3 linked regions of the Arabidopsis thaliana genome follow. The protein of the gene in region 3 interacts with the protein of the main gene of each other region in a pairwise test. Each region holds a gene or a part of one and is shown on either strand. Other genes may lie near its edges.

Region 1 (7,951 bases), on a different chromosome or scaffold from region 3:
GAAATGAATGCTCTTTATGGGTTTGCCTCCAACCCCTTTCCAATTCCTCCACCCTCTCTTTATTACTTACTTTCCTATTCACTATACGCATCTCCCTCTCTCTCTATATCCACCATATATACATTTTATAATGCCACCTGGACACATGTGTATGTGTATGTTGTTTTAATATTTGACAAAATTTGAAATTTTGATCATCTTATTGTATCACGGGCACGTCAAGATTTCAAACATTGATTCATATTATCGTATGCATACACCATGACATATTATTGCAAGATATATCTCAACAGTTACATTGTTAACAATATAGATATAGTAGCTTAAACCGTCCGTATAATACGTACGTAAATGGACGAAGACGTATAGTGAAGGAAACTTAGGTCTTTAATAAGATATATAATGGTATAACTGTAGCAGATGATTTATCTACAATTCAAAAGCTTTATCAGTTTCTTTTGTTTTTTTCTTTGTTAGTCGTCGTACGGCCTAGGGAATTGTTAGTTAGGAAAGGTAGATACATAATGTATAGAGAGGGAAGCAACCATAAACATTTACATTCACCACATGCTCTTAAATAATTAATTAATGCCTCCTAACCTCTCCTTTTGCTCTATCTATCTACTTTAATTAATTACTTGAATATATGCTGCCTATAGAGATTCCTTTTTCTTTCTTCCATTCATTCCTTTTGGCTACTGACTCTCTCTCTCTTTTTTGCTCTCGATTAATACTTCTACTTAATTAGGGTTTTGGGTAAAAAAATTCGCCCTTTTCACCATTAATCTATTACCCGTGTTGGCAAACTTCCAAGACCAGTCTTCTTTCTTTTTTGGCTTTTCTTATTGAGGGCCAATGAAAGCAACTAATTAATTTTTAAAGTAGGGTCTATCAAAATTAATTAAGACAACCCTTAAGTTGATTCCAAGATGCAGAAACTGACCATATATCTTTTCTTTTATCTCAACAAGTGACGACGATCCCTTTTAATTCACGTCCTTACAAATAACTATCTAGAAAGAGAACTGACCCACCAAAAATGGAATATGGTGATGATCTCACGCTAAAAGCAAACGTGTTTATACAAATGTGACATCGAGTGTGCACACGTACGTGTGAAGAGGGAATGATGGCATAGGAGATTGCGCCAGATAAAGACAGTGAGGACAACTAACTCCATATACTAACTTATATATAATTAATACAATGCATTTTGATATTCACTTTTTGTACAAAGGAAATGATACCATACGAGTCGTACGTTGCTAATATTCTTGGTACCTCCAAGTCCAACCGCAAAACAAAAGATGGATAGTTAGTTGGAGAGGATCAGCTGATGAAAACCAAAAGACACAGTTGTGAGAGAGCTACTAGCTAGTGAGTACCACATATATACGTATATTGGGATATATATATACCTTGAATCTTACACATTTTGCTTACATCTAAAATAGAAAATGAACCAGTAATTAGTTTTTGTTTGGATCCATAAATATCACATATATTACTTAATTATTTCATATAATTTATCACTCAAATTACATTTCTGTATACCAGTTGTAGTATTTTAATGAATAACTCTACTAGTAAATTGTAACATTCAAACAGAAATAAAAATGAAAAATGTAAATGTAAAGATATAATCGTGATCTGAAATAGGATGGTTTACAATACGTAAGAGAATACGAATGTACATCATGAGTATCAAAACAAATCAAGATTCATACCAAAAGGAAGAGAAAAAACATATCAACATATGCATAGGTTAGCGTCTTAGCGAGCGTGCGGAACCGAGGGTGCCTTGGTTTGCTGGCCCCAAAATGGGTGGGCTTTTAGGGGCCCAATATTGTTACTTACAGAGGCTAAAATGGATCCTACTGTTTTCCCTTTACAAAAACGGAGACAGGCCTTGTATATAAAAAATTCAGACCAAAGCCGCTTAGAATGAAGTAAATGATATCAAGACAGAACGTTTTTCTAATCCGCGAAACGACGCCGTTTGTACCGCCGGTGGCCGAGGGAAAAAAAAGGATTTGGATTTTGTTGGATCTAAAAAAACATAAAACACATAGGGGTGGGTCTCTCTCCTCCGGAATTCGATCACGACGGCAAGGACGACGCATCTCCTTCTCGTAAGCCATTGATGATCCCAATAGATAGCTCTATTCTGCTTTATCCAATCGCCTCGTCTTAATAATTGATTCAGTGATGTAATTGGGATCTAAACTCGATTGGTTGATTGTTTTCCTTGGAAGCCACAGGGCTGGAGATGGATCTGGTCCGGTGATTTCTGAGATTTAAGTCGATCGAGTTTCCAGATATATCTCTCAAGTAGAGATGGCTTGGTTCAGTGGCAAAGTTTCTCTGGGAGGATTCCCAGATCTCACTGGCGCTGTCAATAAATTCCAGGAGAGCGTTAAAAACATTGAAAAGAATTTCGACAACGCCCTTGGCTTCGACGACAAGTCCGATTCTGCCGCTGAAGGTGTTCTCTTCTTCTCACTTTTTTTCCAATCAATACACATAATATTATCATCCTTCCCAATAATCTGCTGTTAGTCAGCTGGGAATATAGGATTTGATTACTCAAGGCGCATTTGTTGATAGGACCTGCCATTTTTCTTCTTCTTCTTTATGTAGGATGTTTAGATCAATAATCTGCTGTTGCAATAATACAATCTTGCAAGTTATGGGATTCTGTCTTATTTTTCTTAGAACTAGCTTAGCTAGTGTGCTTCAGATTCTACCCATTGCATTTTATTCTGAATTTGAAAAAAACACTTTGTTTTGGATCTTTGCGTTTACTTGGTGACAGCTTTTTCTGGCTATGATTTCAGGGGTATTCTGTGTTTACCTAACTGTAGCACAAATCATTTTCTTCTCTAGTTTGTCTTGAGTTTCTTGTACCTTTCACAACAAAAATCCTTTTGTTCTTTCTTTTTAGATGCAGCTTCAAGTATGTGGCCACCTGCAGTTGATACCAAAAGCCTCTTTGATCCCGTTATGTCCTTCATGGGTAACACCTCTGATGAGAAACCTGATACATTGGAAGACTCTGTGCGTACAGAAAATCCGTCTCAAATTGAACAAAAAGAAGAAGAAGCTGGATCGGTTAAGCTAGCTACTGAACAAGCAGTATCTGTTGAAGCAAATAAAGAAACAAACGTGAGAAGAGAAGCTGATCAAGCAGATAATCCTGAGGTAACAGAAACTGTTGTTTTGGATCCCAAAGATGATGAACCGCAATCGCAGATACTTCTCGAAGAGTCCTCTGAATATTCTCTTCAGACTCCTGAATCCTCAGGTTACAAGACTAGTCTTCAACCTAATGAAAAGCTGGAAATGACAGCTTCTCAAGATTCACAGCCCGAGCAACCCAAGTCAGAGGCTGAGGAATCACAGCCTGAGGATTCTGAAGCAAAAGAGGTTACTGTAGAAAACAAAGACACTGTTCACTCCCCTGTGTTAGATGGACAGCATAAGATTACTTATATGGATGAGACAACAAATGAACAAGAAATTCTGGGTGAAAATCTGGAAGGGAGAACCTCGTCTAAAAATTTTGAAGTTTCACCAGATATCAATCATGTAAATAGGATAGAGTCCCCTGTTGCTCATCCGTCTTTAATTTTTGAGTCTGATGGTTCTCCTTACGAGTCTTCTATACCAAAGAGATCGTCGTCAGATGAAATTTCGGAGAGAATTGTGGATTTTGTTTCTCGTGAAATAGATTCAAGACTGGATACTAGTGAGTTAAATGAAAGCCAGCGTTCAAGCTCTGCGACAAATGTTTCCGACTCTGCTGATGTTATTCTGGAATTAGAGAAGACCAAAAAGGAAATAAAAATGTTGGAAAATGCCCTGCAAGGTGCTGCAAGGCAAGCTCAGGTACATCTTTAGATCCTCATGAAAGGTTTTGCTACGGATATGGTGCTTCTATACCAATTTTCTGGGGATTTGTTTACAGGCAAAGGCTGATGAGATTGCGAAGTTGATGCATGAAAATGAGCAGCTAAAATCTGTCACTGAGGATTTGAAGGTACAATAGAGTATGCGGAATATGGGATATTAGATGAAGGATTACTTTTTTCCCCAGTCTTCCGCCCATCTTCCTTTCATTTGGAATGATTTTGAATCTACATTCTAATAACCTCTGCTCTGGAACAGAGGAAATCTAACGAAGCTGAAGTCGAGTCTTTGCGAGAAGAATACCATCAGAGAGTTGCAACTCTTGAGAGGAAGGTATTATATCTTTTATCATTCTTCTCTTTCAATTCTCTTCTTTTCATTATATATATATATGCCTTCACAGTGCTTATCTTTGTAGGTTTATGCTCTCACCAAAGAGCGGGATACACTTAGAAGAGAACAGAACAAGAAAAGTGATGCTGCGGCCCTTTTGAAAGAAAAGGATGAAATAATAAATCAAGTTATGGCTGAAGGTAAGACAGCCTTTTGGAATGCTTGAATTATGGATCGTATTTTTCTCGTTATAAAAAAATGGTGTTGAAAGCGAACACCTGAAAAATGAAAGGACGTCATTTCTTGCTCAGCTTGAGCTCTTGATATTAATGCTAATCATTTCAGGCGAAGAGCTTTCAAAGAAACAGGCTGCTCAAGAAGCTCAGATCAGGAAGCTAAGGGCTCAGGTATATATTCAACGCTATGTGTTTCATTTTTATCAATACCAACAGTCTCATGGCAATTCTTATTTGTACGAGGGTTAGATTAGAGAGGCAGAAGAAGAAAAGAAAGGACTGATCACAAAGCTTCAGGTAATTGATTTTTTTTTTTTTGTTTCATTAACCACGTCATTAAGGATGAAACTGCCTGAAGGGGTTTTCTTGATTTCCCAGAAGCTTTTGTGAAAGGCTGGTTTGAAAATCAGTCTTCTTGTAGGCAGGATTAATATCTAAATAACTAAAGCATTTGCAAAGTTTGTTAAGCTTCTTAGCTTCATTAATTTTTCCTTTCAATTGCCAGTCGGAAGAAAATAAGGTCGAAAGCATTAAAAGGGACAAGACAGCTACAGAAAAGCTGCTGCAAGAGACCATAGAAAAACATCAAGCTGAACTTACTTCTCAGAAAGACTATTACTCAAACGCATTAGCTGCAGCAAAGGAAGCTCAAGCGTTAGCTGAGGAGCGTACCAACAATGAAGCGAGGTCAGAGTTAGAGAATCGTCTAAAGGAGGCTGGAGAGCGGGAATCTATGCTAGTCCAGGCGCTGGAAGAATTGAGGCAAACCTTAAGCAAAAAGGAGCAACAGGTTTTGTCTTCCTCGATCAAATTTGGGATAGAGTACTACTGGGATCTCATCATTTTATTTATACTCACCTAGTCGGTGGGCTCTAATTTTTACAGGCAGTGTATAGGGAAGACATGTTCCGTGGAGAAATTGAGGACCTTCAAAGACGCTATCAGGTCAAATCAAGATGTTTCGTTGTCTCTATGCATATTTCTTTCTTTGGTTATCGCCTTTTGGTTACGTTTGAACCATAATTCTAGTTACTAATAGTTTGTTCTGTTTACTGTTTGCTAAACCAACCACTCTTATAGGCTAGTGAGCGAAGGTGTGAGGAATTAATCACACAGGTTCCTGAGTCTACAAGGCCTCTCCTAAGACAGATTGAGGCTATGCAGGTAAAAAATTGACCCATATGTTTTTTCTGAAAGAACTTCTCCTGAGATTAGAATCTTAAATTAAATTGTAACATTGCATGCCTCTTATCTGATTGGCGATAGGAAACTTCATATAGAACAGCAGAAGCTTGGGCTGCTGTAGAAAGAACTCTGAATTCTCGATTGCAGGTGTTATGAACAACACTGCTCTATGCTATATTCAGCCAATTATTTTTGTTTTCTCTATCTTTTTGTTCACTTTCTAGAAATATTCAGGAAGCAGAAAGTAAAGCTGCAACAGCTGAAGAACGAGAGCGCTCTGTGAATGAACGCCTCTCTCAAACATTATCAAGGATCAATGTTCTAGAGGCCCAGGTTTTCTATGCTTTTTGACACTGTTCTTCATCAATTTTCGCAGCTTTCTCTAAATTTTAGCTTACCCAGTTCTCCTATCCAGCTTTCATGTCTCAGAGCAGAACAGGGCCAGTTAAGCAAGTCACTTGAGAAAGAGAGGCAGAGAGCAGCAGAAAATAGACAGGAGTATCTGGCAGCTAAGGAGGAAGCAGATACCCTAGAAGGTCGAGCAAACCAACTTGAAGTTGAGATAAGGGAACTTCGGAGAAAACATAAGCAAGAGTTGCAGGAAGTGCTACTCCACAACGAGCTTATTCAAAAGGTTCTACATTGCTTTATGGACATAACTTAATCTAATAAGAGTTAGTCCCATGAAAAATGCCCCATCAGTTACGGAATTTAAAGGACTGAAGTACCTAGCGAATTCAATCAAAGTAGTGCTTTCCCAAACTTTTTCATCCTGAGTAGCTTCTATTAACAACCGAACTGTTCCAGTTTATTACTCTTCTTTATTGTCCAAGTAGTTTCTCAATATGGCCTATTTTTTTCAGGACCTAGAGAGGGAGAAGGCTTCACGTTTGGATCTTGAAAGAACGGCCCGTATCAATTCCTCGGCAGTCTCTGAACAGCTTCCTATAGCAAGGCAAAATTCTGCCTTTGAGAATGGTGATGCATCTAGATCTATACTACTGCTTAATAAGTCAGGCATTGCACATCTGTAATTCATTAACTATTGCATCAGGAAGCTTGCCTAGAAAGCTATCAAGCGCAAGCAGCCTTGGAAGCATGGAGGAGAGCTATTTTCTGCAAGCTTCTCTTGATTCTTCAGATAAATTTTCTGAGAAGCGAAGCATGCCTGAGGCAACTATGAGTCCGTACTACATGAAGAGCATCACACCGAGTGCTTATGAAGCCACACTTCGACAGAAAGAGGGTGAACTTGCTTCATACATGACCCGCTTGGTAGGTGTAGAAAATATCCAACTGGGACATTTTTGTGTAACTCTGTTGGTAGGCTTTTGGCAATTGGCTTAGTAATGGGATTGAGGTTGACATCAGTCCTTACAATGGGACACTATGGGTGTTTGGATCATGTTGAGAAATTATTGGTTAGTTGCACACCGTGGTTAGCCTTCTTTTATAAGCTGGTTTAGAAGGTTTAGCTCTACTCGTCGAGGTAGTATAGGCTGGTTGTTAGTATCATCGTTATCTGTAGAATCTAACTGTAAGAGTCTATTTGCCTTTGGACAGGCATCAATGGAGTCTATCCGAGATTCCCTGGCTGAAGAACTAGTCAAAATGACAGCAGAGGTATGTATAGCGCTGAGAGTTTAGAGTTGATATTATGCTCAGTGTTATGATGATATTTCGTCTATATCTGGTAACTGTGGATGTAGTGTGAGAAGCTACGGGGGGAGGCAGATAGGGTCCCGGGCATAAAGGCAGAGCTGGAAGCACTAAGGCAAAGACACGCGGCTGCTCTGGAATTGATGGGTGAACGAGATGAGGAGGTAAGATATGTGAATAAAATAGTAGTGTATCCAGCATTAACAACAGTAGTTGGCATTGAGTTAATAAAAAAGTGGGTTTGGGTGGTAGTTGGAGGAACTTCGAGCGGATATAGTGGACTTGAAGGAGATGTACAGGGAGCAAGTGAACATGCTGGTGAACAAGGTAAGGCAAACAGACACAAGTGGAGTCAAAGTGTTGACAAACTCAGGCTAATGGGTTTGTGCAATTTTGGGTTTGCAGATCCAATGAGGGGCAAGGGAAGATGGTGTTGGCAAGCTCAGGCTCACGAGTAGGACCACCTAATCCTTGTTTCCCCAATATTGTATAGCTCTATAAGCTACCAACCTAAGCCCACTATATTCATTTGTCGTTTTGTCTCTCAGGTGTTGGTTGAACTTGAGGCTTTTTAAAACAAACTTTTGCTGCTCGAAAGAAGATTTTTCTTACAGTGAATTCGATCGTAA
Region 2 (5,619 bases), on a different chromosome or scaffold from region 3:
TTTTACAATCTATAACGTGATTATGACTAATCTCTCTTTATTAGTCTATATACTTATGAATGTGATATATCATAATGGAGCTACCTAGGTTTTAGTCAAAAACCTACAACACTCGGTTATCGGAGTACACTTTAATATTACGATTTATAAATTTGTTCTCCAAATATATGAGATTTCTCAGTTTTGATCATCATTGGCTATGTTATTAACAATGACCTTCACGACTTCACACGAACTTATGTGTACACATTGTTTTAATGTTTAGTTTTATTTTTCTTTGTGAAATATAGAGTTAAAGTAAATTTAAAATGACGATAGAGAATTATAAAACTTATTCTACAACGTGGAAGTTGATCATCCATGTGGTGTGGTGGTTTTATGATTTGTGTTTGGTTGAAGTTATTAATCTGGAATATGTGTGTGAGGTCAGATGACCCCCCAAAAAACATTGATAAAAGAATTGTGGAACTTTTTAAAATAACGAATCACGTAGTTTTGTCTTCCACTATGACTGAATTTATATGTTATAATAGTGATAAATGGATATCGCATAATACACGTGAAGTATGGGGAAAGAAAAACTTTCACACTATAGTACTACTATACAATCTTTGTGTGCAGATAACTGAATTCTAAATTGAAATATAAAAATACTCTATGCAATTACCAAAATATATGTCCCTTCTTATTGCTTGATAAAATGCGAATGGAGGTTTAACATTTTAGGCGATTCAGTTATTGGGTTTCTAATTGTAAGGCCCAAACTTTAGAGACCCATGAATAATATATAGATTTTAGTACGATGATACAAACCCATCAAACAAGTCAACAGTCCTAAGCATATGACGTTTTGTTGTGACTTATGACCGTAAAGGGGACCAGTTCCAATCATTTTCGTAGTAGGAATCTGCTGATAATAATTTTAATTATAATGTAATACGTCCCGATCTCGTGAAGTGAAAGTAATATTTTGAAACTGCAAATATCTCATTCTCCAATGTATTTTTCTATCTAAAATAATCAAAAACGGTAAAGTATTTCTTAGACATTCTTATAAACAAATATTTGTTACAAACTAATCTTTACATTAGTTTAAAATGATCCTCGATAAAGCCCAAGAAAAGATTTGGCAAGAACACAAATTTATTAGAAAAATGAACCCAACATGATAATGAGCCTCTGATTGTGTTGAAGTGTCCTCGTCGTTGTGTTTTCATTTTCATTAATACTCAATTAATAATCTCATGTGGACCATTTTTTATAAAATATTCCTGAAAAGTTGTACACTGATGCAAGCCAGCATCACAACCTTTTTGTGAGGATAGGACAGAAAATAAAATAAAAACTTAACAATTTGACGTTAATCGCTAATTAAATTCGATTATACTCAAACTCAGCAGCATCAAATCAAATATTAAACTGTTATTATACTCATAAATAATTATTATTATATTGTTATAGTCAACAAAACTGTTACTATTCAACCCTACCTATATAGTAAAATCCTTTTTCTATTTTTGTTTTTACCATAATTATATTTTTTAAAATTCCCATATATGTCACATAGAAAAATCTTAGCTGTTTACAAAAACGTATAACAAAGTAAATATAAAAATTTGTTAATTGTTAAACTTGAACCACTAATATAAGTTGGGTACTAGATATTGTTGAAAACCATATTGTAAGTTATAACTTATAACTAAACCAATCCAAATAGAAACAAACATTAGAGAAATGATTAAAAAAAGGTCATAAATAACACATATGAGTTGGATTATTAATGTTAATTGATTGATTTAATCTGGAAACCTACTGTCTTGCTTCGCGTGAACACTACGCGCCTCCCAAAAACAAAGATGCCAAAACAAGAAACAACCTGCGGACCTCAAATCTCATAACCCACGCGCCGATATCACGCGCCGAACCAGCGCACTGTAGTGTGAAATATCCACAGTTTTAAATTTCGTCTTCTCTCTCTCTCAAACTATTTCTCTCACCTTCCTCCGACGATTTCTCCTTTGACAGTTCAGTCTTATCTCTCGCAAGGATCGGAGATATAGAGAGATACATAGAACCGTCTCGTAGCTCTCTTCCGCCGTCAATTTGAGGTTTCCGGGGAGAGAATTGTAGAAATGAAGGAATAATTGGAGAAGATTATTATCACCTCGCTGGAGATTCTATTTTGTTGAAGTGTGATTGATTATTAGGGGTTTTGGTTGTGAAGAGAAAATGCCAGGTCATAGATCCAAGTCGGAGAAGAAGGATGCTGATAAGCAGCTCCGTCGGGATCCTTATGAGGTTTTAGGAGTCTTAAGGAACTCTACCGATCAGGAAATTAAGAGCGCTTACCGGAAATTGGCTCTCAAGTAAGTTTAATTTGGTTTCTTATGTCTCTCCTAGAGTCCTAGTTTGAAATTTGAAATTTGCAATTCGAAAAGCTGTGTTAATTTTAGGGTTAGGCTATGAAGAAGAACCTTGAATTGAGTCAATTTAGGTTACCGATAAGTCTGGGAATTAGTCAATGACTACTTGTTAATCTGTGATTTGTTTAGCTAAGCCTAATCCGAATTACATTAGGGAAGGTGATGGTTTGGTCTAGGGTAATTACAAATCCTCTGCACAAGCTCTCTCTTTGTTTTTTATAGTCCCTAATTAATGTTTTGTGTTGCAGGTACCATCCGGATAAGACTGCAAATGATCCGGTTGCAGCTGACATGTTTAAGGAGGTCACGTTTTCTTACAACATCTTATCTGATCCGGAGAAACGTCGCCAGTTTGATTCAGCTGGTTTTGAGGTGAGATTTGTTTTGCATTGTGGGATTGTAGATTTACTCTGACCTCTATGTGTGGCAAGAGTTAATTTTTTGTGTGTGTGTCTTCTGTTGAATTATAGTTATCATGCTGTATTAGTCTAGGTTAAGATGCTGTTTAGGCTCTTATAGGACCCTGGTCTCTAGAAAATACTGCTTTTCTGTAGGGACGTTCTTAATCTGTGGTGTGCTTCGAAATTCTTTTAGCAGCTAATACTACGCTAGCATCAACTTTAAGACTTTGCTAATTGCAACGCGCTTCTCTTTCACAGGCTGTTGAAGCAGAAAGCCAAGAGCTGGAGCTAGATCTCTCAAGTTTAGGAGCTGTGAATACTGTGTTTGCAGCTTTGTTTAGGTTTGTTTCTTTTGATTTAGACTTCTGTTCGTTTCCTAAGCCCCCTTTTATGCAAGCTGAGTATATGTTCTGAAACTTCCGATGAATTAGCAAACTTGGTGTGCCGATAAAAACATCTGTATCTGCAACTATATTGGAGGAGGCTCTTAATGGCAGAGTTTCAGTTGATCCTCTTGTACTTGGACAAGCTGTGTCTAAAAAGGTGTGTTGTTTTTAGCGGATGCCTAGTAATGATCTCATCTGTGTATGTAATGAGTGTCTGTCTCCATATAAGTCTCATATATGCCATGGTTCTTACAGGTTGAAAAGCAATGTGCACACTTTTATGCTGTCACAATATCAGAAGAGGAAGTAAGTGCTGGGTTGGTCTGCAGAGTAGAATCATCTAGCAAAAGCAAATTCAAGGTTGGTTCGGGCAGAGTCTTTCCTGTCAAACTGGTATGGAAGTACCAAAGTATAATGAACTAACGTGTGTGTCTGCTTGTGCAGCTACTGTATTTTGATCAAGAGGCCAACAGCGGATTAAGCCTAGCCCTGCAGGTATTGTTGTTATCAATTGAAGTGAAAACAGTGTTTTTCAGAGGGTTTTCATATATCATATAAATATAAGTAACTCAAATGGTTGTTTTCTTCTTGTACATTGAATTCTACGTGGATACAGGAGGACAGCAAAAGAACGGGTAAGATAACATCTGCCGGAATGTACTTTCTCGGTTTCCCTGTCTACCGGTTGGATCACACAATTAATTCAGTAGGTTCACTTCACTATGTTCTAAATTTACTTCACCTCATTCTGGTGGATGAGTTTCTTTTTCCCAACAAGACTTCATTTTTTTTGCTCTAGATGGCTCAAGCAAAAGATCCAGAAACTGCCTTCTTTAAAAAGCTTGATGGTTTTCAGCAATGTGAGGTAACCGAGCTAAAGGCCGGCACGCATGTCTTTGCTGTCTATGGTCAGTTTTCCTGGTTTATTATCTGATTACAAATTCATTTATCTTCTCCCTTTTATATCTGTCTGGATTCAGTATTCGATTCAACTTGGTGATCATCTGATGACATTTTCCTTTGTTCAGGTGATAACTTTTTTAAAAATGTGAGCTACACAATCCAAGTCCTGTGTGCTGCCGCTTTTACGCAAGAAAAAGAAGACCTCAGGTCTGTAGAAGCTCAGATACTCACTAAAAGAGCAGAGCTGGCAAAGTTTGAGACAGAGTACAGGGAAGTACTTGTGCAGTTCACCGATATGACCAGTCGATACGCTCAAGAAATGCAATCGGTTAGTCTTTTATTCATGAAAGTTTATAAATTTCAAACCACCATTCACAGAAAACGAAGAGAAGATGTGTCATGACTGAGTAAATTAGACCAGATTCTATGTGTAAGTTTCTGAAATGGTTAGCTTAGTCTGATTATCTTATGGTCTTTTTGCAGATCGATGAGCTCTTAAAGCAGAGAAATGAAATTCACTCAGCATACACGACGATTCCATTGATGAAGCGGAGCTCGAGCAAGAACAGGATGAGAAAGAGCTCATTCAAGAAGGCGGCGGCTAAGGCGCCTGCTCCAACTGAACAGGAAGAAGAGGAAGAGGAAGAGGAAGAAGAAGAGGAAGAAAGCAGCAGACAGAAGAACAAGAAACCAAGTACTTGTGATAAGTCCGAGACACTAAAGAAGAAGAGCAAATGGTTCAATTTACATTTGAAATTGGACAAGAAAAAACCTTGTTAGTTTCTTCATCACTTTTATCAAAGAAAAAGATTCTTATCCATTATTTTTCTCCCTTACCTTAGGGATCGGTGTATCTGTAAATCTTTTGCTATTTTTCTCCTTCAACTTATCATTAGTATTAGTCAACAATTTTATTTTGATAATTGTTATCTGTCAAAGTTCTCTTAAACATATTGTGCCCTATTGAACCCGAGATCACATATGACAAATGGATCGCAAGTATGGAAATTTTGTGATATCCAATTTTGTAACAGATTATTCAATTTGACACATGCAAAAATTTAGATAACACATATTGATGGCACAAAAAATTTCACGAGAGATTTTTTTTTTCCACCCGAAGGCATGAATCATGATTGCTACATTTTCAATTTCAATATATTAGCAACTCAATATCACAAGACCAAATTCACTAGTCACTACCAAATAAATTTTGAATGTGTGTTAAAAGGGGTAATCCTAATTTATCCCTTGTAGTCATTGTATTGATCACACCGCCTTCTTACTTCTCCAAGCTTCCCCGTCTTCACATTCTTCTCACTAACTTTCTCCATAGCCTTCGCAAACGCGTCAAAGAACGCCGTTTCGTCCTCCGCGTAAAGATCCACCAGCGAGCGCGTCCTGTTGTCAAACGCAATCGCGTGATCGGACTGGAGCAACCCGTAACCGTGCTTCAAATTCTTGTAATACATATTATCAAATTTCCCTGGAGTAAAAACGTCATTA
Region 3 (7,713 bases):
ATTCGATAGGATCTCTGAAATTTCACCTGCCAGGAGCTTCAGCATCCCAACCACACCGAAAATGGAGCGGATTTTAGGGACACGCAAAGAGTTGCATTCTGCTACTTGATCTGAGACAGGCAAGAGGATGCATTACACATACATGCATAAGAGAACAAAAAGATTCCAATATAACGAGGCAAAAACAGGAAACACACCAATGAGCTTCATGGAGCCGTCAAGACGACTAATATCCAAACATGAAGCGGAGGAACCATCGGTTGGCTCGATGACGTACTGATCAGGGAATTCCCACAAACGCAAGCCAGAGTGTATCTTGAGCCTACTCACCATGGCTTCCAGCAAGAGGAAGAAGAACCAATCACCTTCTTCGTTACGAGATTTGAAACTAGTAGGCGAAATGAATTCCGCTCAATTAAAATGGCCTTCAAGGCAGTGAGAGTGAGACCCGTTCAAATTGATTCCGTACATAACGGTTGACCAATAACAACAAGTCGACGACCGTTATTATTATACTATCTTTGTAGTTAATTTTGCGTTGACTTTTTTAGTTTCATTAATTCCGATAATCAGCGGTTTTCTGCATGATTACAATAGACTCCATTAAAAATGGCCCAACAACTCAATTCAGTGGCTTATCCTTTCTTTACATCTGGACAAAAAGTGTTTTCTTGACTTTTAGTGTTCATTACACAAAAACGAAGGACTTAAACACAATGTCGTATGTATGTGTATGTATCTTGGCCCAAAAGAATGTGTCCAGTGCCCACCCGACTATGAAAACGAGAATCTTGAGAAGACTGATAGACCTGAACCCTCACTTGCCGGACTTGGAGTCGCCTCTGTTGTTGTTGCCGCTGTTGTTGAGCTATGGTAGGCTTGCTGACACTTCTGGATCTCCTCTGGACTGAACTGCAGCAACATCCCCACTACAGGTAGTAAAGCCTCCACTTCACCTGCAATTATCACAAGTTAATTTACCCCTAAAACATCTACTTCGTGAATCCACCTTTAATCTCCAGGTTTTTTAACCTGTTTCTAGCAGTTTTAATATCACATTCTTTAGGTATGTCATATCCACGCCTTCTCTCTTCTGTTTTCTTTCCATCTCCCTCAACTCCGTCTTTAGCACTGCTTCCTGTAATTTAGCATACCACCGGAAGTTTGAAATAAGATCCTAAGAAACTGGCAAAGCAACCAAACTCTCGTGTAATCACATACCTGTTGACTGTGAAGACGGTTTTCTCGTTCAAGCTCCTCGATTTCCTCCTGATTCAGAATAAACAGTTACTAATTGCAACATGTGCAGAAACAGATCAATGCAACCAATTCTACTACACCTGAAGAGCTAAAATATGGCGCTGTGTCTGTGCTAACTCTTCTTCTCTCTGAGCTTGTTGCCTTGCCAATATCTGAAATTTGATTATTATGTGTCATGATTAGCTCTCACTGATTTGTCCCGTAGGCCATAGCATTACATTTGAAGGAAATTAAGTTCTAGGATTAAAGATCGCTCCTTGCTCACACAAGCAGACAGCTAACATTACAAAATCCTACCAGAATCTGGTGCTCTGCTGCAGAAGTGCTCAAGTTAGATACATCCTGCTGTTGTGACTCTGAAACCCCGTTTAAAGAAAATAATAGGTTATTGATGACAGGGAACCCACTGATTCATTCATATAGGGAGCCCTTATTAAAAAAATATGGTATCAGGAAAACATCTTGTACCTGTGTTGTTGTTCCCATAGTGGTGAACCTGGGATGGAGATTTGTTCCACTTAATGCCACATGAAGAGTGAAAAGTTTCAGTGCAAATTAAATGAAAAGTTACTAGCGTAAAACCAAAGATAAAAAGGAGAAGTAAGGTAATAAGCAAAAAAAAAAAAAAAAAGAACCATCCACATACTACTGGTTTTGACTCCATAGATTTTCGAAGATTTGTCATCTCATCCACAAGTCTCGATATCTCTCGATCCTTCTCCTCAATGAGTCTATCTGCAAGCTCACGTACTGATTCATGCTCCTCCTGCAGGTATGTCAGTTAGACAAAAAAACTTTTTTATGAGTATAACAAAAAGTGATTTACCTTCATTCGTTTATTCCGCAGTTTGGCATTTTCTAGTTCTTTTTCTATACCTTCTGCAGGTGAGGCTTCATTTTGAGCGGTCAAAGCTTCACATCTTCCTATAGATTACTGTAGCCTTTTAGGAAGGGAATTTCAATTTCCAAGAACTAATGAAAAAACCGAATTTAGATTTGAATCAATTACGTCGCCATGTTTCTTCTAAAACCCGAAGGTCTTCTTCCCAAGCTTGTTTCTCCGCCTGATTGCGAGCAACAGTGGAGTCAAGCTTCACTTCAAGACTTTTGATCTGCTCGCTGGCATCTTTAAGTGCTCCAGCTCTGAAATATATATGAAACAAAAATAGCTCAGACGACCAATATATGTCTGAAGAACTCCATAACCAGTCCCCTGAGAACACCATTTCTCAGTTGTTTTCTCTGGCAAATTGAGGAGAATGAGCAGCCAACCTCCGGAATCAAACATGAAAAAGATTCAGTGTCAATATATACCTCTCTTCAAGTTCTTTCTCAAGGCTAGCCAAAGCACTCTGAAGATCTTGCTGTGCCCTATCCCTCTCTGCAGATACCAAATATACTTCTTTTTCAGCTTCCTAACACCACCCAAAAAGATAATTAGTTGGTAAGCACCTTGGCAACCATCTAAAAATATCTCCATCTTAAGATTCTAGATAACTTACCTTTAGAGCTTCCTCAAGAGATTTAATTTGTTCAGAGTCTTTAGCTGCAGCCAGCTCCATGTCCTTCTTTTGCAAAAGCGCGTGAGCACGGATCTTGTAAGAAGAGAATTCACTTTGGAGCCGGTTGATCTGTGAACAGTTACAAGGAATTCAATATGGTTAAATGAAGACTAGCTAAAGCAGAACATTCCTTAAAGCTCAAAATGGCTCTTTGATTCCATAATAATTCACGTTATGTGATTAAGAATGGATGACTAATAAATTCGTTCACCTAACCAAGGCTACAATAGTTTCCAAAAGAACCAAAAGAAAACTATGTACCTCTTCTCTTGCACCTTTGAGTTCCGCATCTTTTGTGCTTAGTATCTGGGTCTGCATGGACATTTCAGATCCCAGCTGACCTGACAATTTATATGAATGAAATGTCTATAGTCCATAGACAAAAGTAAAACATAACTAGATTAGTTCAACGTTTATGAACTCCGTCAATTACTTCTCATTTTAGCCACTTCGATTTCGGCCTGTAAGTAGTTGCTTTCAGCGATTTCCAGTTTAGATTTAAGGGCATCGCATGAAGCTTCCCAAGTCTCCTTTTCCTTTTCCTAAAGGAACAAAAAAAAATCATGGCTTCTATGAATTACAACAAAAGAAAATAGAGGAATTTATATGGCCAAACAAATAGAAACTCTAAACATGCTGTCTGATGACAGACTGACGCCTTAGATCATGTTTACAATTATCTATACGCACTCCTATATTCATTCCCTGGTTAAAACCATGCTAGTAAATCTGCTAAATGATGGAAATCATTTGACGAGTAGTATGCAAAACAATGTCTTAGAATATACGAATGGGCAACAATAACGAAGGACAAATGACAGTTGGCATCAGAGAGTCCTGCGAATCCATCTTTAAACATTCCACTTACATTCTCTGATTTAAGGTGTGCAAGCTCTCCTTTAAGAGTTTCTGCAGCAGCCCTTAGCCTTGCTGCTTCGCCAGTTGCAGCTGCCTCCATCTCTGCAATTTTAGATTCCTTCTCTGCAAGCAGTACCTAAAAGAGGTGTATACTTGGTGTGAAGAATTTATCACTTATTTCAAACTATTCTCTCTCGCTCATTTGAAAACCAAAGCACATCATCCAGTAATAGAACTAAAGAATTTAGTCAAAAGACTAACCTGCAGCGACGAAATGGTTTCGGCTGCTTTGTCCCTCTCAGATAGAGCATCTACGACCTGTGCTTCCAAACCCTCTAAGTTCTGTCAAGAAGGTGGAGAGAAGAGAAAACCTTGGATGTCATTAGCGGAAAATGGTGGCTCATAGCATATAAGAAGTAACACAATCGCTGATGCTGACTACCTTTTGATGCTTGGCTGACAACTCAGTAACTGCAATTTGCTTTCTCTCTTCCACAGCTTGTAATTGCTTTTTCAGGTCCTCCAGAATCTAGGATTAAAGCAAGTACGCATATGAAGCAGAGTATACAGAGCCATCCCTCCCCCCCCCCCCCCCCCCCCCCTCTCTCTCTCTCTCTCTGTCTCTTTTGTCTCTCTATTTTTCTATATATTGCAGACTAGTATTACAGAAAATGAAAGAGATCAAACCTGGTCCTTATCAAGAAGTGACTGTTGCAATGTCTCAATCTTATTTTCTTTAGGCTGCAATGAGCCACGTAGTTCCTCGATAGTATCCCTGAGCCTGTGTAAAGAGAAAACTCCAGTACTCAAATTCTTAGAGGTAGCTGGAGAAGTGGGAAAGGCGACATTCATTTTATACAATTTCTGTAAAAATTATCTTCGAATTATTTACTTGTTATTGGCACTCCTTAGTTGTTGCCTCTCCGCATCCATTGCTTTAAGTGCTTCATTCGCCTGTTGCCTAGTGCGTTCCAGCTCTTGTTGCATGGATGAGTGTTGAGAAGATGCTCGTTCAGCTGTTTCATTCACTTCCCGGAAACGGGCGTCGAGATCATCTTTTTCCTGAAGATAGCAATATAATATACCACTGAGATTAAGACAGCACATAGCAGCGAAATCTATATGTCTGAAAATGCAGCATAGAAATTCCGAAATAGTATAAGATGGTTTTTGAAACTCACAGTAGCCTCAAAGTGGCTAAAACAGAAAGCATTATAAAATGTAGAGAAAGACATTCACCTTTTGGATTTCTTGAATGCGTTGTTTAGCCCTTTTGTGAAGCCTGGTGAATTTGGCGTCCAGGTCGGCATATTTCTCGTCGCGCTCTTTGATTTCCTGGTCCAGTTTCTGTTCAACTACACCAACAATGTAATAGCACAAGTTGAGAAAAGGCAAACACTGGTTCCGGTCAATGAATGAGCAAATAGAAAAGATGGCTTCTGACCTTGGGAAAACTTAGAGGAGTATTCTTGGGATTTAGCATCAGCCTCAGAGTATGCTTCCCTTAGATGCTCAAGAGCTTGCTCAGCTGCAACTCGAGTTTGTTTTTCCACATCAATTTCTCTGCTCAATGATGCGACCTGTTCTTGAAGTTGTTTCAGCTGAGCAGAGTCCGCTTCCACTTGCTCAGCTTTCTGGAGAGACCTACCTTGCGCTACCTCATCCTTGAGTCCCTCAAATTGGGATCTGAGAAAGTCATTTTCTAATCTCAGTTCAGCAATCATTTGGAGTAGCTGATCACCATTTTCTGTCAGAGTCTCGTTGGAGGCATCATTTAACTCTTTATCTTCTTTGATCACATGGCTCTCCTCTTCTTCTCCAACCACATCAGATTCCTTGTCTTCGGACATCTTGGCAGAGCAGATGTCAGAAAGATGAACCCAGACACTCAAGAGAGCGACGACAACTAGTAAGCGCAAAATCGGGATTTGAATCAACAATCAAAAGAGAAAGGAGTCAAGTCGTGAAATTCGAATAAACCAGCAAAAGCAACGCAAGGAGAAGAGAGATTTGAATGTAATCAGTGCCAGAGAAGAAGCTTACCTTGAGGTGAGGGATTAGAGAAGAGTGTGGAGGCAGAGAGAGAGAGGTCACAAACAAGGAATCACGATTTCGAAATATTGGATCGGATCTCAACCCAAAGGTTAAAAACGTCGTCGTCTCTTTCCCGTCGATCAGTGAGACGGTAAAACGTTGATCTGATCGACTGACGAAGAATGGTAAGAATTGTGTAAAGGGTGTTTTACTAATGAATAATTGCATTCAGAAGCCTTAAACCTTTTGAAAATTCATCAAGTAAACCCAAGACGAGGTTAGCTAAAATGATGCCGTTTTGGAATGGTAATATGAAAATATGAAGGACAGTCCGAAAACAGCTTAGCCCATAAAGCAGCAACTTAGGCCCATTATGTATTTGTAATATATGGCCCAATTATAATCACTTTCCCAACTAATTTATATAAAATGAAATTATTGAAGTCTTTGTCCAGTCAAATATAATAATAAGCCATTGAAAAAAATGGCGGAGGAGAGCAGAGTCCCATCATCGGTGTCGGTAACAGTCGCCCACGACCTTCTTCTAGCCGGCCACCGCTATCTAGACGTCAGGTACCGCCCCACCTTTCTCTTTTGACTATTTCAATCATCAACATAGCATCATTAGGATCTTGATGTAATGGGGATGATGAATATAGGACTCCAGAAGAGTTCAGCCAGGGACATGCCTGTGGGGCGATCAACGTGCCTTACATGAATCGAGGAGCATCAGGTATGTTTTTATTTGGTTAGTTGATAACTGAGTGATGGATATAATTTTGTGATTGTGAAACAGGGATGTCAAAGAACCCCGACTTCCTGGAACAAGTCTCCTCCCATTTCGGACAATCCGATAACATCATTGTTGGCTGCCAGAGCGGTGGTAGATCTATCAAAGCCACCACCGATCTTCTCCATGCAGTAAGCTCCACCACAAAGCTCTTCTTTCTGACTTTTACTTTGTTGGTGATATATAATTTGCGAATTTGCAGGGTTTCACGGGAGTCAAAGATATCGTCGGTGGCTATAGTGCCTGGGCCAAGAATGGCCTTCCTACAAAGGCTTGATGACTCACCATTCACCAAACATCTTTCCTTATCTCTTCGTCTCCTTCTTCTTCAATAATGCATCCTTTCCGCATGTAATCATCAATAAATGACCCTCCTTTCTCTTTGCTGTCTGATGTGATAGCTTGGAGGGAGGGGCTCATCGCATCTTTTTAAAATATATAAAAATACGAGTGTGTGTTGATTGCATCGAAATCTCTATATATATAGTTTAAAAAAAAAATCAATTAGAAAGGAGAAAGGAGCATCCGATCAACGATTATATCTACAAGATTGTTACCTTAAAGGTCCATCTGTTCTTGGCAACAGACAATATATGTGTATATATTGAGTGATCGATGAGTACACAAAGACAACAACACCATATCAACAACTCGATCGTGTGTACAAAACAAGTGGTGTGACCTAACGAGGCAAACTTCAAAATACGAGAGAAGCGACGAGAGAGGACTGAGATATTGACACGGCTCAATCAGATGAGTTAGTAAAAGAGAATCTGAGTGAACCAGGCCAATATCAGAGGGACTCTCTCGGAAACATAGTGTATCTGTTTTGTAAAAGAAACAAGAACGCAAGTGAGAGAATGTCTGTAACTGTAAGGAGATTAAGAAGAAGAAGGGAGTGAATGTGCAACTGCAATTCTGCGAAGCATTTAATAACTCTGCTACTCTCAATGCACCAAAGCTGGGCCACCTCTTTTATTTTTCTAACTTTAACCCGAAAACCAAGTGAATAAGGGAGTGTTGTGTAACCATCGTTTCAGGGGAAATCATTCACGTTTCTTTTAACTTACTGCTTAGTCTTCCACAAGTAGACATTTATGAAGGCACAACAATCCACATCTCTTCTTTCCCACTGTATGTAACCGTCCCTCTTTCGTTTTGTCTGCTTCTGCCCTCAGTTTCTTTCTCCTAAATAATCTTCTTATCGCC

Evidence for each region. Proteins that work in one complex are often made in the same cells at the same time.
Region 1: the proteins of ATGRIP (region 3) and GC5 come close enough for resonance energy transfer, tested with the Arabidopsis thaliana proteins (one study listed by BioGRID).
Region 2: the proteins of ATGRIP (region 3) and ARL1 come close enough for resonance energy transfer, tested with the Arabidopsis thaliana proteins (one study listed by BioGRID).

What each region holds. Positions count from the first base shown.
Region 1 is NC_003070.9:30,027,895-30,035,845, reverse strand, and holds the start of GC5 (golgin Putative 5), read left to right. Parts: upstream 1-1,944; 5' UTR 1,945-2,132; intron 2,133-2,255; 5' UTR 2,256-2,337; coding exon 2,338-2,485; intron 2,486-2,944; coding exon 2,945-3,888; intron 3,889-3,967; coding exon 3,968-4,039; intron 4,040-4,167; coding exon 4,168-4,242; intron 4,243-4,327; coding exon 4,328-4,442; intron 4,443-4,587; coding exon 4,588-4,649; intron 4,650-4,727; coding exon 4,728-4,775; intron 4,776-4,983; coding exon 4,984-5,268; intron 5,269-5,363; coding exon 5,364-5,483; intron 5,484-5,558; coding exon 5,559-5,642; intron 5,643-5,744; coding exon 5,745-5,810; intron 5,811-5,897; coding exon 5,898-5,996; intron 5,997-6,078; coding exon 6,079-6,297; intron 6,298-6,526; coding exon 6,527-6,641; intron 6,642-6,717; coding exon 6,718-6,938; intron 6,939-7,226; coding exon 7,227-7,286; intron 7,287-7,372; coding exon 7,373-7,486; intron 7,487-7,574; coding exon 7,575-7,649; coding exon of another isoform or gene 7,650-7,700; and 5 more. UniProt on the Arabidopsis thaliana protein: Golgi matrix protein playing a role in tethering of vesicles to Golgi membranes and in maintaining the overall structure of the Golgi apparatus.
Region 2 is NC_003070.9:8,528,557-8,534,175, reverse strand, and holds ARL1 (ARG1-like 1), read left to right. Parts: upstream 1-1,913; 5' UTR 1,914-2,229; coding exon 2,230-2,366; intron 2,367-2,671; coding exon 2,672-2,795; intron 2,796-3,082; coding exon 3,083-3,165; intron 3,166-3,255; coding exon 3,256-3,367; intron 3,368-3,465; coding exon 3,466-3,570; intron 3,571-3,654; coding exon 3,655-3,705; intron 3,706-3,826; coding exon 3,827-3,916; intron 3,917-4,009; coding exon 4,010-4,118; intron 4,119-4,238; coding exon 4,239-4,441; intron 4,442-4,596; coding exon 4,597-4,893; 3' UTR 4,894-5,112; downstream 5,113-5,619. Other genes in the region: AT1G24110 (Peroxidase superfamily protein), read right to left, coding at 5,358-5,619. UniProt on the Arabidopsis thaliana protein: Plays a continuous role in plant development probably in the structural organization of compartments. Seems to not be involved in gravitropism signaling pathway.
Region 3 is NC_003076.8:26,404,359-26,412,071, forward strand, and holds ATGRIP (Golgi-localized GRIP domain-containing protein), read right to left. Parts: upstream 5,998-7,713; 5' UTR 5,724-5,997; intron 5,587-5,723; 5' UTR 5,531-5,586; coding exon 5,125-5,530; intron 5,036-5,124; coding exon 4,920-5,035; intron 4,743-4,919; coding exon 4,573-4,742; intron 4,462-4,572; coding exon 4,368-4,461; intron 4,210-4,367; coding exon 4,123-4,209; intron 4,023-4,122; coding exon 3,942-4,022; intron 3,817-3,941; coding exon 3,691-3,816; intron 3,365-3,690; coding exon 3,256-3,364; intron 3,164-3,255; coding exon 3,084-3,163; intron 2,892-3,083; coding exon 2,763-2,891; intron 2,676-2,762; coding exon 2,575-2,675; intron 2,404-2,574; coding exon 2,270-2,403; intron 2,185-2,269; coding exon 2,087-2,184; intron 2,027-2,086; coding exon 1,907-2,026; intron 1,778-1,906; coding exon 1,729-1,777; intron 1,617-1,728; coding exon 1,558-1,616; intron 1,413-1,557; coding exon 1,341-1,412; coding exon of another isoform or gene 1,335-1,340; exon of another isoform or gene 1,270-1,334; coding exon 1,222-1,269; and 7 more. Other genes in the region: ATSAC1B (Phosphoinositide phosphatase family protein), read right to left, coding at 27-110, 198-333; STR16 (sulfurtransferase protein 16), read left to right, coding at 6,199-6,287, 6,374-6,447, 6,511-6,635, 6,707-6,781. UniProt on the Arabidopsis thaliana protein: Golgi matrix protein playing a role in tethering of vesicles to Golgi membranes and in maintaining the overall structure of the Golgi apparatus.